Astyanax mexicanus: one gene and its partner. The protein of the gene in region 1 purifies or fractionates together with the protein of each later gene. This does not show direct contact. Links are inferred from orthologs where the notes say so. Each region holds a gene or a part of one and is shown on either strand. Other genes may lie near its edges.

Region 1 (7,661 bases):
TCTTTAATACAGTGGTCGTACAGGCAGTAGCAGCAGTGAATATGATTAGTACTCACAGTGATAACCCGAGTGAAGTCCTCCAGACTGTGAGGGATCTCTTTTCTGAAGTTGTACGTCTTGGCAGCCACCGCAATGCCAGCACAGTTCACCGCCAAGTCCAGTCGGCCAAACTTCTCCCTAGCCAAACTCACAGCTGCCTGTACATCTGACTCTGATGTTACCTGAATCATGAGAGAGACATTATTTCTGGTGAAACTTATGATTAATACTGGCTAGATTTAAATAGGCTAGACTTAAATAGTCACTTGAGAATGACATCTCTATATGAGTTAAGATGATGCAGATTTAAGGTGGAGGGGAATCTTTAAAAAACTGTCCTTGGGGAAAGCATTTTGTAGGTTCTTGTCATGCCGTATTGTACTTACATCAGCTGGAGCAAAAGCACAGTGGCCCCCCAGTTCTGTGGCCACCTTGTGTCCGTCTGAGCTGGGCAGGTCCAGGATCACAGCACTGGCCCCTTGGCTGAGTAGCCTTTCCACTGTGGCTCTTCCCAGACCTGAGGCACCTCCTGTAACCAAACCCACCATACCCTATACCAGAGTGCGAGCACACAGATATATTACAATTAAAAAGTAGAAAACGATGTGGGATTAAAGGAGAACCCCGTTGTGAAAATGAACCTGGGGTTTACTGAAACATGATAACGAGAACAAACCTTTGTTGAACAGCCCACCTCCGTTCACCCCCAGCATTGCCAAATACAGCACTTTTAGCCAAAGCTCCCAACAGACTCACAATGCTAGTAATAGGGGCATAGCATCATTCACGCAAATAAATGGCTATTTTTACACCATTAACTAGCACAAAGTATTTAATTTTCTTTAATTCTGTGGAAATGCATGAATTCCAGCTGCTGCTGTAAATATTTCTGCAATATTCACGCATTTTTGAAATCTGTTCTCCCATCCTACTTTGTGCTAAATCAGTCAACTTATCAAAGTAATTTTTATATATAAACAGTATTCTTTATAAACTAGCATGATGGCCTTTAATAACTGGTCATATGAATCAAAACATTGGAAATCTGTAATCTGTTTACTGTAAATAAACTGCAGCGCTTTACTCACCCAAATGAACGGTTTTCAGGAGAGAAATGTGTGTAGAATAACATTCAGTATTCGTTTGACTTGGGGTTTTTTTTTTTAGAATTAGTTTTGGTTACTTAGGCACCTCCAGTGGCAAGACCTGCAGAATTACAAGGGTCCTCTATTATCGCCGACCTTACATTTCGCTTAGCTGGAAATATGTATACTTTAGGTTTTATTTTAAAAAATAACAACTCTTTCATGATATTGGTGGCTGATTATGTATATAGTTATGCATATGTTTGAATCGCTGGGCTTATTTGTGTTGACCGCGTCTTTGCCTGCCCCGCCTATTGGAGGCATGGCATTTTAGCACTGTGCCTATGTGATTCGGCGGCTTCCAATGGTGTATAATGACATCGCATTTTTCCTATGTGGGAATTCAAACTCTGATTACGTGAGGAAAACAAGACGAAACCCTTGTTCGCTTTTTAGGGACCCTAAATACTGATCTTTAAAAAAAAAAAAAAAAGACAGCACAATACAGAAATGCTGTGCGTGCTCCACACAGTTTTTTTTTTTTACACGGAGATTTACAAAATGTTAGCAATACTTAAATAATGTTTTGTGACAGGATTTTTTTGTGAGAATAAAGTTTAAGTGTTTGTCTAAAGCTGAAGCTGACATGTTTTAAATTCCCTTAACGCAACTGTCAGCGAGGGAAAGGAAACTGCGGAACTGGCTGATCATAGGGGTACAGCTGATAACAGGGGACCACACGTTAACTACCTGTGCACTTTTAAAGTTCTCAGTGCCTAGGTTTAAAAATGAGGACCCTCAGAATTCTACCAATGAAGTGAGGAGCTATTTTGAGCTAGTTAATGGTGTAAAAATACAGATTTTTTTGCAAGGGCAACTCTATGCCCCTATTGCTAGTAGTGTAAGCCTGTTGGGAGCATTGGCTAAAAGTGCTGTATTTGGGAATGCTGGGGCTGAATGGGAGGTGGGCTATTCTGCAAAGGTTTGTACTCTTTATCATGTTTCACTACAACACAAGTCCATTTCACACCTGAGTTCTCCTTTAAGGCAAGTATTGATCTGCACACATGTTGACACAGTTTGAATGGAAATGTTTCCATAGAAAGGAAGACATGGTCTAGCTAGTACTAGGCTTATTTATTGTGTGAGAAACTGGTCCCAGGTACGTTAGCTTGACAGACAACAGCATTATCAAAGAATGAGGCGAGTTTAGCTAACTAGTTAAGTTAATTCGTTTTATGTAAGACCTGGAAAATAGCCAGTATTTTAATTACCTACAGTACACGTTCGCGAACTACTGGGTAGCAATGAGTATTAAGTTAGCTAACGTATTTAACGTTTGGTTGTTTTTCTTAGCGTTCAGTTGTATTTAGTTCTTGAATAGTAAATAATAATTCATATCACAATAAATAAAACACTGCCAAAGTGGACCAAGGCTCAAGGGGGCGTGCAATAACCTGCTAAAGTACCACATATAAAACAGTATTTCGTATCTTGTCCTAATTATCCGTTCCACCTTAAATAGTTCAGCAGCCCCATTCTACCATACAGACAGTTTCATATAGGTCACAGCGTAACGTTGACCAAAGAGACACTATTTAAGGTGGAACGGAAAAATCCGGATAACTTCAGCCTCGTTTTAGCCACAAATGCGAGCTAAAACTTCTGCACACCGGCCAGCGCTATTACTACAGAACGCCATGCGTTAGACAGCAACCAGGCATTTCTATTAATGTACAGACTATCCAACTCACGAGGAGTAATATGTTCTCTCTTTTCTTTCAATCCGTTTCTCACCTTGACACTTCTGATGTTCGCCATGTTCGCCACACTGCGCAGGCGGTGCTGTGGAAAGACGTCACGGCAGGAGCTGCACAAAACTCCACGGAAACGAGTTACTAACCAATCAGAAAGGTGGATTTGACCAACGCCCCTTATTCCATTGGCTAAGTTTGATTTGATTGACACGCGCGTTTGCCAATCAGATAATAGCTCAGTAATCTTAAGGTCATGTCAGGGAAACTTGGCCATGGCCTTCAAGTTTTTTTTATTTGCTAGGTTGAGTCTCAGACATGAACTTACTTTTTTTGACATTTATTATAGTTAACCCAAAAATAGACACTTTAAAATTTGTGTAAAGTTCCTTAAAGTACTTCGTCCGTCATGTTTTTAAGTTCACGTAATTCACTCACTAAATAACTTTAAAATACTGAACATCTTAAGAGCATCATTACAGGACAGTGTGTGAACGTGTGTGATCATCTCACATTAATAAAAATAGCTCCTTTTTAAAAAGTATTATTGGCTTTTACAGCTCTTTTCCCGATCAATTCATTAATTTAAATGCTTTAATGAAGTGTTCCACAATCCATATAACAATTTCTAAACTGATTTAATAAAAATAAAATAAAAGCTATACAATTGTTATGTCATTAACATTACATCAGGATTTTAACCTTAAAATATTTAATCATTTGCTCACAAGAAGAAAAAAAAAACATGAATGAGCTGCTCATAGAATTTATGTGATTCGATTTAGAATATGGTGTATTTATTTAGAAATGGGTCTGGACTTTTATGGATTAAAATTATTCACTTGCACTCATAGCCTCTTCATTTATTTAGCAGCAAGTGACCCAGAACACTAAAACAACTAAACATCCTATTGTGGCAGACTATGGCTATGCTACATTTGCCTAAATCTGTAACATAGATAAATGCAAGTTTCTCTTAACACCAGCCAAATGCCATCAAAAGGCAATATACCACCTTTTGTGTTTCATCACACCAATTTACCAGGCTTTATGCAGCCTTTAGATCAGAGCCTTGGAGATACACAAACTGAACCTGTTGTATTTCTTTACAACAGGTATTACAATTTTTTCATACCATTTTTCTCCTGCTTCCCCCATATAAGATCTACGACCTGCTAAATAGTCCAGCCCCAAAATCAGCTCGTCATACAGAGAAATAATTAAAAAAATAATAAAACCCAACCATACCCTGTGCTGGTCAAGAGCTAGTTAGCGAGCTAGCCAACCAGCATAGGGTATGTTTTTTCTAGATGACCAGCTGGTCTGGGGTGTGATCACTGTATATAACTAATACATTGAGGCACACACACAAAAGGCACAGCTTCATTCATAAAATGTGTTTATTAATACTTTCACAACAGAAGACAAAATCAGAAGAAGGCCATTACATCAAATCAAATACATGAAATAAGTATACAGCAGTGCTTGATAATAGCAAATTAAACAACCAAAATTAATTTACATTCTGAATAAAGTCATAGGGGTACAAAGACTCCAGTGTGGAAGGCAGTAAGATGTATAGTTATCTCCAGTCGGGGCAAATAATACAATGTCCCCACAACAACACAACTTACTACCTCAGCACAACAAAGCCACACACAACCACAAACTGTAAAGTAACACAGCTTCAGAGTCCAGAATTTCTGTGAGTAGAGCATGAAGTAAAGCAGAAGCTGTGAGAAAGACAGTAGACTGTATAGTTATCTCCCAGATCTGGTGTGATCCCAAACTATACAAACTACTACCTCAGCCCACATCTCCCAGCACTGCAGCCCACGGTTCCCAGCACTGCAGCAGCACACAGCTCACAACCTTGAAAGAGAAGAAATAGGGATATTATATACAGTATATTCAAGACATTCACTTAATTTAAGAAAAACACAAGAGCCTTTTCTTCTACTGCTGTATAATCCAAGTTAACATTCACCTAATAGAATTCCATTGGTTAAGAAATTAGCTCTATAATATTTCCATTCATCTGACACAGCTTTTTTTGGTCATTATTTCAAACTGGCTTCTCTAGCAGACATGTCAGAACATTGCATAAAACAAACACTCAAACACAACTCATTAAGACCACATTAGCCTTGGGCTGAAAATCAGCTTCCTTGTCATCTGCAAAAGTACACATGTAATGTAGCAGTATAGCAGTTTTAGGAGATTCAAAAAATACTAATAATACTTACCAACCAAAGCCCAAGCGATTTTTTGACAAACTTCAAAGCTTCTTGAAACCTACACAAAGAAATCGACACATGATAAAACCAGTCATTTATTGAGGAACAAAACACAGAGCAATTTTAAGGCTGTTAATGTCTGAACATGAATATGGTATTGTTGCAATTAATAAGAGCATTTCCATTATATCTGAAAGAGCATCGCAAACTGATTGCCTGGGTCTCTAAATGTACAAGCATTCTTCAGTACTTTAAGACACTGAGTACTAAACCCTATAAAGATACAAAGCTTAAAAAAAGGAATTAAAACTAAATTTAATATGACATTGTTTAAAATGTGGACTACAATCATTACATCATTACACATACATACAGACTTAAATGTGCTATCTTTCAAAATATCGCTTAGCTTTTTAAAAAGCAACACATAACCTGAGCAAGTAAGCAATGCACACCTCAACCACTGGAGCTATACTGAACAAATCAAATCATTCCACCCCAGACTCAAGGACCATCATATTGATCCCAAATAAACTTTAAGACAGAACACACAGAGGAGATAACTTACACAGTACAGTAATACATTTTATACTGATTCGTCTTGCAATAAATGCAAAAGGAAGATTTTTACCAACATACTAGGAGGTCAGAAGTCAAGATGTTTTAAATCTTTACCATAGAGTCAGTGACTCACCCATCAAGGCAACATCTGCAGTTTCTAAAGCGGCCATTGAAAAAGTCTGTCCTTGTATCAAGTCTAAGCCACCACAAGTTTCACAATGATGTCTGATACTTTTCACTATGGCACCAAAGGCTGGCCTGATTGGCTGTACTACTCATCAAGGAATGACAGAAGGCTTTATACTCAATACATCTTGAGTTGTGCCTGACGATGTCTAAACCTTAGATGAGACAACAAACCCACTGCTGCAGTTTCATTCATCAAGGACATAAGGTTCTTCAAGCCACTCTTTCACACTGCTATGTAGACAAGTCTAATACCTTTGGATCAGATGCATGTTTCTGAGAAGAGTTTCTGCACTCCTACAGCTCTTAATAATCACTGAGCTGCAACAATCTGTTATATATGCCTATATATCTGTCAAAAGCAAATATTGCTAGATCTTGGCCATCCATCCGCATTTTGAGAACCATTTTGTGTTGTGTAACAAGACAATTCCAAGATTGCATCTAAAGCATGGTGTCACTCATTCCTTGCACTGACACTTTCCCAGTGGAACACCCTTCTTTTGGACATATGTATCTTCTCAATTTTGGGGGAAAAGTTATATTTATTATAAATAAGAAATTGAGATTGCGTGTAAATTAAACGTTAACATATAACTAGACACAATTACATTACAAGAATATGTGGCCTTGATAATGTGTCTAGACAAAGTGGCTTTACGGATCTGTAGATTACTAGTCAATTAAACATAATTAATCTCTTAAACAGAATATATAAAATGGAAATGTGCTAGCTAACTAAGAAAATATTTGTATTGGATACTTAACTAATAATTCGTTAGAGCTTGTATCACTTTTTTAAAAAACTTTTTTCTAAAACAGTTTGACATATTCCCCAGATCCACGTTAACCCTTTAACATGCCTTATCCTGTATACAGGCTACAGGTGTAGGTGATACAAAACCCTCTTTTTCTGCAGTAAAATAATGTATTTACACTCTAAAAAATTTAAGGGCTTTGAAATCGCCTACAGGACACTTGGAGAAGCTGCCTGTTAACTCTCTACCCCACTTAATAATTTCAGATCAGTAACAGGAATCAACCCAAATTCTGCATGTTTGAAAATGTACGTAAAGACTAGACAAATATAATGAAACTAAAGGTTAGGAGCGAATTAACTGTTGAAAATGTTGATTTTAAAATGAAGTTCAGGGAGGAGCCAATTTTATGATTTTACTCATTATATTTTGACATTAGCCGATTTACTTGAATATTTTTTGTATATTGTCTATTACAATTACAATTATGCTTTTCAGTAATGTTCCTTATCAATCATGAAAGCTTTTTATGTAATGCTTGAATAGAAATCATTAAGATTTAGTGGTGCAATGTCAGGCAGACCATTGACCAAAATCCTGGCCTGTTAAGGGGTTAACCTAGGTAGCTAAAACTTTAACATACAGTAAACCTACAGTTTAGAACAATTTAACTGATTTAAGTATTCTTCTGAAGTACAACACCCACTGAAGCCTGTTTATTCAGAACCTCTCCCTCTCTCACTGTCTACAGACAATGTAAGGTTTTTTTTAGCTAATGTGCTTCGTACATTTAAGGTTTTAAACGTGACAAAGAGCTAGGCTAGATACCTGTGTAGTGAAGTTAATTAGTTAAGGTAGCCAGCCCCCTACATAGCGTTAGGTTAACTGTGTCTGTGGTAAAAGGGCATGTCTCTGTGTCAACTTTAACTGACTCATCCTAGCCAGCCACATCCACCCAGTGTGTAGGGGAACATGAGGACACGTCCATCTAGCTAATATCCGCATAGCAATACTTGAAGCCTTGAACGTTACAGCTACCGT
Region 2 (6,989 bases), on another chromosome or scaffold:
CCCTATCCCTCCCTGGGATGTACATATTACACACCTCAGGCTGTATTTCAGGAGGGTTTTATCATATTTCTGCTTTGTTTCATATTTTAACTTTGCAGAGTGCATAACACCCAAGGTTTAGTAATATACAAAAATATCTATATAAATAAATATATGCAATTGTGTTTCCAGGGGCTTTAAAGTGTCTCTCATGCCATCTTGGTGCCATATATCACAGGACACTTACACAGGTCAGATCTGCTGTGGTGGGGGGACTCTACGTAATAATGGGCAAAGTGGTTTTAATGCTATGGCTAATTGGTGCGATACAGCAATGAAGGAAAATGGAGCGGAGCGGAGTAGGGCACAACTGAACACCTGGCCTTTGCAAAATAATATTTAATTCAATTTTATACCACCTCATCTTTAACTCCCCAACTCATCCCTTTCTAATAATACTGGATGGAGCTTCATCATTCCAAAATGGTGTTCCATTGCTACACAGTTCAATGGCCCACTAGACAATGAATGGCATTAGATATGATGCCAACAGGTTCATGTTCACCTGCTCTAGAAAGACCTATTCCATTGGCTATACTAGCAATGGGTGCATCTATAGGTAGATGAATGCATTTAGTACTAGAGCTGCACAAAATATCATTGCAGTGTTGATGTCACATCGCATGACATGCAAGGTCATATATTTTCAAATGTATTTATTTATTTATTTACTTTGCACACATAGTGCACTATTAATATTTTTATGAAATGTTGAATCATTTACCTCTTTTGAAATATATATTGCAATGTCAATGCACCATGCAGCTCTAGTAGGTACCATGAAATGTAAAGTTGCCAGAAAAGTTATTATTGTAGCATGTCAGTTTGTGCCCAGCTCTGCTCCATGTTATAGTGACACCAGTATTTATATATCATGGTAAAGCAGATCATATTTAGGTATGTTTCTTGGATCGATGGGGCTTTGGACGATTAGTTTTCCTCTCATGGCTCCTCTGTAGATCACCTCAATAAGATCAATGAAGTCTTGCTTGGTTTTAAAACATCCAATAAACTTGGTATGATCTGGAGACCTGGAAGAACACAGAGCACAATATTAGCACAAGTGTGGGTCACTGTGCCACTGCTGCTTACAACAATCCTAATGTTAGAGGAAATATTGCAATATGACTAAATAAATGACACATTGTTTGGCACAATTTAATAAATTATTCTGTATTTTTTTTACACTTTTGTTTAAATAATTTTGCTTGCCTAAAACAGCTGCATCAACGTTAGTGAAAGCATTTTTTAGCACATAGAAATCTAAGTAAAGCATTTTAACAAATCCCAAACCCTTATGGCACAACATTCAACACACCTATAGCCATACCTTCAGACATTATACCAGTAATAAGCTCTAATCGCGTGATTTGAGCCACTTGATCACTTACCCATAATCAACCTTCATGTGCTGTCCGTTGAAGAAGAAGACCGTGGAGGGAATGTAACTGATGTCGAAGTATCGGGTGTACACTGGTACTTTATCCACATCCACAAGATAGATGGAGGTCATGTTCTTCAGGTCGTGAGAGGTTTTTGAAAGCTGCCACGAGAAAAGGAATGTTAAGATTGGTAAGGCTCTTCACTAATGAGACTTTCAGACAAAAGTCTGCAAAAAATGATTTATTTAGTATAAATAGTAGTTTCATTCTATTTTGGTCATTTTAATTCATTAAATATTCATAAACATAACTTACTAAGACCCTGATTTTGTGTAAAATAATTAGTGTAACAAAAAAAATGAACAACTTAGTAACAGCAAAAATCTACCACAGAAATAAAGTTTAGCATATTAACTCATGCATGTGAGAGTGGTCCAACACAAGCAGATAACATGTCTCTCCAAACCATCACTGACCATCAGTAAATTTTACATTTCATTTGTAAATCACGGGAGCAGAGTCCCAGAGAGGAAGAGTGGAGAGACACACAGTCCAAACTGCTTGAGGTCTAGTGTGAAGTTTCCACCAATCAGTGATGGTTTGGAGAGACATGTCATCTGCTGGTGTTGATCCACTGTGTTTTATTATCAAGTCTAAAGTCAGTGCAGTTTTGTTTTCCCACAAAATCTTACAGCACTTCATGCTTCCCTCTGCTGCTGACAACTTTTTATAGAGATGCAGATTTCATTTTCCAGCAGGACTTGGCACACTGTCCACACTGCCAAAAGTATCAACTGATCTTATATAATATTCTAATTTTCTGAGACACTGATTTTTGGTAAACGCTTAAAATAGATCACTCTGTGTATAATACATCTATATGAGTTTAATATTTTGAATCAAATTACTGAAATAAAGTAACTTTTTGAGATGACCTTGTATAGCTTCAAGAGTTTCTTTAAATTTACCAAATTGAAAACCTCTGGAATATAATCAAGAGAAGGATGGATGATCACAAGCCATCAAACCAAGCTAAACTGCTTGAATTTTTGCACCAGGAGTAAAGGCATAAAGTTATCCAAAAGCAGTTTGTAAGACTGGTGGAGGAGAACATGTCAAGATGCATGAAAACTGTGATTTAAAACCAGGGTTATTCCACCAAATATTGATTTCTGAACTCTTAAAACTTTATGAATATGAACTTGTTTTCTTGCCATTGTTTGAGGTCAGAAAGCACTGTCTCTTTTTTATTTCAGCCATTTCTCATTTTCTGAAAATAAATGTCCGTTTTATGTTCAATTTATCTAAACATATACCTATAAATAAACATGTTTAAAGCTGATGTGTAATTAGGACAGGGGTGGTTCAGGCTGAACTGAATGCTAGGCTACATGTGTAAACACTGGCCATAGCTTTAGAGATGCTAAGCTAACAGGCTAACCCAATAAAACAACACTTACAATCTCATCCAGCTGCATACAGACAGAGTCCTCGTCTCTCCCGAACCGAAGCACCAGCACCTTCTCCGCCACGGCCTTCACAGCCTCGTCCACTTCCTTCTTACTGCTTAATTTAGGCAGAAATAAACTCATATTTACTCAAACCAGCAGATGAACCTGCTGCACTCTCAGCTCGCGGAGCACTCAGCTACTGAAATACTGAGATACTGCCCCCTGCAGGCCCACGCCGGAACTACACTCTGTATTATACACAAGAATACAATATATTAATCTACTTAAACCTATATAATTATATATAATTATCTGCAAACTTTAGTTACCACATCGCTTTTTCTTTTAATTGTGTTGATATACAATATTAAATAATCACAAAATAAAAAATAGTGTAGAATTAATGAAAATACAAAAGAGAAGAAGAAATTAATAAAACACCCAATTGCTTCACTTTTAGAAACATTTTTTTAAATTCCGTATTCTCTTTTTTAAATGATATATTCTTCTTTAGCCATGTATGTATTTTCTGCAAACAAGTAAAAACCGAAAATGGTTTTATTGTGTGTTTTCTTGTTATTTTTGGAATGCTCATTTTTTAGACTTAAAGCATGTTTTTTTTATTAGTTTTGTTGTTTGCTTGATTTATTTTTGTATATTTTTATGCTGTGGTGTTTATGGATGGTTAAACTGGCCTAGTGTTGTTTCTGCCTATTGCAAAAGACGCTGGGAGGGGAAACGAACGAATTTGTTCTCATTAACTAATAGTGAGTGACTGTAAATTATACTAAAATAAAACAAAAACACAAACAAACAAAAAGAAAAATAAGGCTTCAAAGTATGAATGTATCATTTTTTATTTATCAAGTTTACCAAGATGTGTTTATAATAATGTAGGTCAAATAAGGACTGAGAGTATAATGACATTCATTTAATACTTAGAAGTTATTACTGTTTTAAGTTTTTTAAGTGGGATAATAGAGATTGAAAAAAAAACTTTTTTTATATAACAGTGATTTACATATTTTACACTTTTCCTTAAAAAAAAATATGAGAAATATAAGGAGGTTTTGTTTGCACCGTGGAGGGATGAAGTCTCTAAGTGTAGGTTGAGAATTGTTCACAGATATTATCTTAAAAATACTCTCTTAATTCTGGGAGAGCATCCAGATGGGCTAACGTTATGCCTAGAAGGTGCACAACATATTTTTATTCATGTTCTCGGAAAAATGGGCATTGAAGGATGGGGAACCGCGAAATGCGGAACGTCTGTCTGTAGTGTGTGTTTCAGCACGGCGGGAATAGTGTGTGCGTTGTTTTTTCAACGTGACTTTGAAGGGAGCGAGGTGTGGAGGAGTGAGTTTTAGGCAGTGATGGAGTGAGAGAGTGAGATTAGCGCCTCTGAGTGCTTCAGTCAGGAGCCCGGTATGCTTAACTGCCCTGCATTTAGTCCTCAGCAGTGGCCGGTTATTCTGCTTTATCTGATATCCTGTGATGTTAGCATGCTAGCTAGCTCATTAGCCTGCCATAGCTAACTAACTGAAACACCCGTGCTGCCCTGTCCTGAGGAGTGGAGTACTGCCCTGTACTGAGGAGTGCTGTGGAGTGGATTATCCCTGTGCTGTGAAGTGCTGCCCTGTGCTGTGAAGTGCTGCCCTGTCCTGAGGAGTGTAGTGGAGTATTTCCCTGTGCTGTGGAGCGCTGCCCTGTGCTGTGGAGTGGAGTTTTGCCCATGACGTTCCTCAGGTTGCAGGTTGTGGGGGTCCTGAGGAGGTGCTGCGGCCGCCCCTCATCTTCAGCAGCTCTAAAATGTCATTATTCTGGTTTGCCCACATCCAGCTTCATCTCCACTCCATCCTCAGCACTTACTTCCAGCCGTGCTCTGAGCACCACCTGGATCCTGAGGAAAGATGTCCCTCAGCCCAAAGATGAGGAAGCAAGACCCAAGCTGGACCTGGATGTGTGGAAGTCAATGATGCGCACAGTGGCTCTGCAGGAAGATAGGGTCAAGACCAAGGATAAAGTTGAGGACGAAGATAAAGAAGAAACCTCCACTGATGAGAGCAAGGAGGTGGAAGGAAAGCTTTCTCCCTTGGAAGCGACTCGCATGCTGGTGGACGCGTGGCGCCTGGCCGGTAGGTTGGTTCCTGACAGCCTCACAGACGAGCAGATGGAAGCGCTGTCCAAGTTGACCACCAAGTCATCCAAGAGGAAGTTCCTCAAGCACTTGTCCATCAAGGAGGGATACAAGAAGGCCAAAATGGAGAAGAAGGAGAAAAAGATGGCAGAGAGAATGGAGAGGGCAGACCGTGAAGGGGTCGATGTCGACAGCAAAGCTGATGTCAAGTTAAAAAATACCTTCCTGATGAAGTTCTGGTCTCGATCCTTGGATACACTCCTATTTTGGAGATCGGCGCAGGCCATGCAGTACGGTCAGCCACTGGTCTTTGACATGAGCTATGACCAGCACATGTCCAGTCACGACGCGAAGAACACCGTCTCCCAGCTTTTACAGTGTGAAGGCTGGAACCGACGATCTGTGGACCCCTTCCACCTGCACTTCTGCAACCTGCAGCCCAACAGCGTCTACCATCAGGAGCTTCTCAAGCGCTATGGCCAGGAGACCTGGGAACGCCTCTTCATCACCACCACCAGCCAGCGGCACGTAGACATCTTCCCCCGTGAGAACCTTGTCTACCTCACTGCCGATTCTCCAAACGTTCTCCGGACCTTCGACCACAACAAGGTGTACATCATAGGAGCCTTTGTGGACCGTTCTGCCCAGTCCGGAGTCTCCCTGGCCAACGCCAAGCGCCTCAAGCTGGCCACTGCTCGTCTGCCTCTGAATGAGCACCTGCAATGGGACTGCGGAGCCAAGAACCTCACCCTGGACCAGATGATCCAGATCCTGATAACAATCAAGGAGACCGGCAGCTGGGAGAAGGCTCTGGAGTTCGTGCCCATAAGGAAGCACGGTGGCTTCTACGAGCAAAAAACTGAGAACAGTGTTCCTGATGTTACAAGTGCTCCATATACAGCACCATTCAGAGCAACAGCAACCACATACAGCGGGTCTCAGAGAGATCGAGCCCCACTATTCGTGAGCAAAAGGAGGATAAGGAATCAGACAGAAGAGAAACCAGCGTTTAAATCAGAGCAGATGTTTGGACAGACCAGATTACGGACTGGACTAAAAAGCAAAATAGAGGAACACAGTAGAGCTATGAGGGAAAAGAAGAAGTGGTCGAAAAGAACATAAACTTTTGACTCTGAGACCAAAGACTTGCTGTTGTGTATAGCTTAATAATGAAAATAATGGAATGTATCAGTTGAATAAAAATTAATTTGGCAGTAAATTTGTTATTGTCTAACTATCGGTAAACCTTCAAAAGAAATTTCATTGAGTGTTACATTTGTACAGAGGTATAGATAAAGTTTGAAATGTGTTTAACAGTGGTCACACTATAAATGTAGCCAGTTTGTTTACTGTCTCAAATGACCAGTGAGTCCGTGCCTTTAGAGCTTAAAAGCTGACATATGCATTTGAATATTATTATTTTTTTTTTAAATAAAATTTACATGAATAATCTTGCAACATTTAATGATGTAATTCATACGTTTTTAACAATGTTTTTGTTATTTTGTTTTAAATCAAATAGATGTGATTTGAATTTAATTTAAAATTATTTTTTATCAAGTAAAAACACAAAACAAAACATTTTTAGAATGTGTGGTAAACATTTGACTTGCACTGTATATCTTACAGTAAAAAAAAAAAAAAACATTCTTATTATTTTTTTGTTCTTTATTGGTTTATTTATTACATTGTAGATTAATGTAGAAGATTTATAAACTAAAACCGAACACAAGTGCAAACCCAGGTGTTTTGGGATAACTTGAACCTTAGAGTGAAAGAAAAGCAGTTAACAAGAGCTCAGCATCTCTAGAACCTCTTTTGAAACAGTTGGAGAACCATTTCAGGTTCTACCATATGAACCAGACTGAAAAAATCAGCCAAAAGTGGGCAAAGTTGTAAGTATAGGAAAATGTTTGCTTCATAACTGTGCATGAGTTTCTTCATAGTGTTTATGTCTTCAATATTAATCTACAATGCAGA

What was found. Proteins that work in one complex are often made in the same cells at the same time.
Region 2: the proteins of hsd17b10 (region 1) and trmt10c purify together in Homo sapiens (co-immunoprecipitation; 3 studies listed by BioGRID and IntAct, counting the BioPlex papers as one, with this or other methods). This does not show direct contact. The link is inferred for Astyanax mexicanus from reciprocal best matches to the Homo sapiens genes HSD17B10 and TRMT10C.

Annotation. Positions count from the first base shown.
Region 1 is NC_064420.1:33,488,947-33,496,607, forward strand, and holds the start of hsd17b10 (3-hydroxyacyl-CoA dehydrogenase type-2), read right to left. Parts: upstream 3,023-7,661; 5' UTR 2,946-3,022; coding exon 2,922-2,945; intron 591-2,921; coding exon 426-590; intron 222-425; coding exon 57-221; intron 1-56. UniProt on the Homo sapiens protein: Mitochondrial dehydrogenase involved in pathways of fatty acid, branched-chain amino acid and steroid metabolism. Acts as (S)-3-hydroxyacyl-CoA dehydrogenase in mitochondrial fatty acid beta-oxidation, a major degradation pathway of fatty acids.
Region 2 is NC_064428.1:8,572,693-8,579,681, forward strand, and holds trmt10c (tRNA methyltransferase 10 homolog C), read left to right. Parts: upstream 1-4,164; 5' UTR 4,165-4,604; coding exon 4,605-6,131; 3' UTR 6,132-6,467; downstream 6,468-6,989. Other genes in the region: txnl4b (thioredoxin-like protein 4B), read right to left, coding at 905-1,070, 1,431-1,582, 2,882-3,013. UniProt on the Homo sapiens protein: Mitochondrial tRNA N(1)-methyltransferase involved in mitochondrial tRNA maturation. Component of mitochondrial ribonuclease P, a complex composed of TRMT10C/MRPP1, HSD17B10/MRPP2 and PRORP/MRPP3, which cleaves tRNA molecules in their 5'-ends.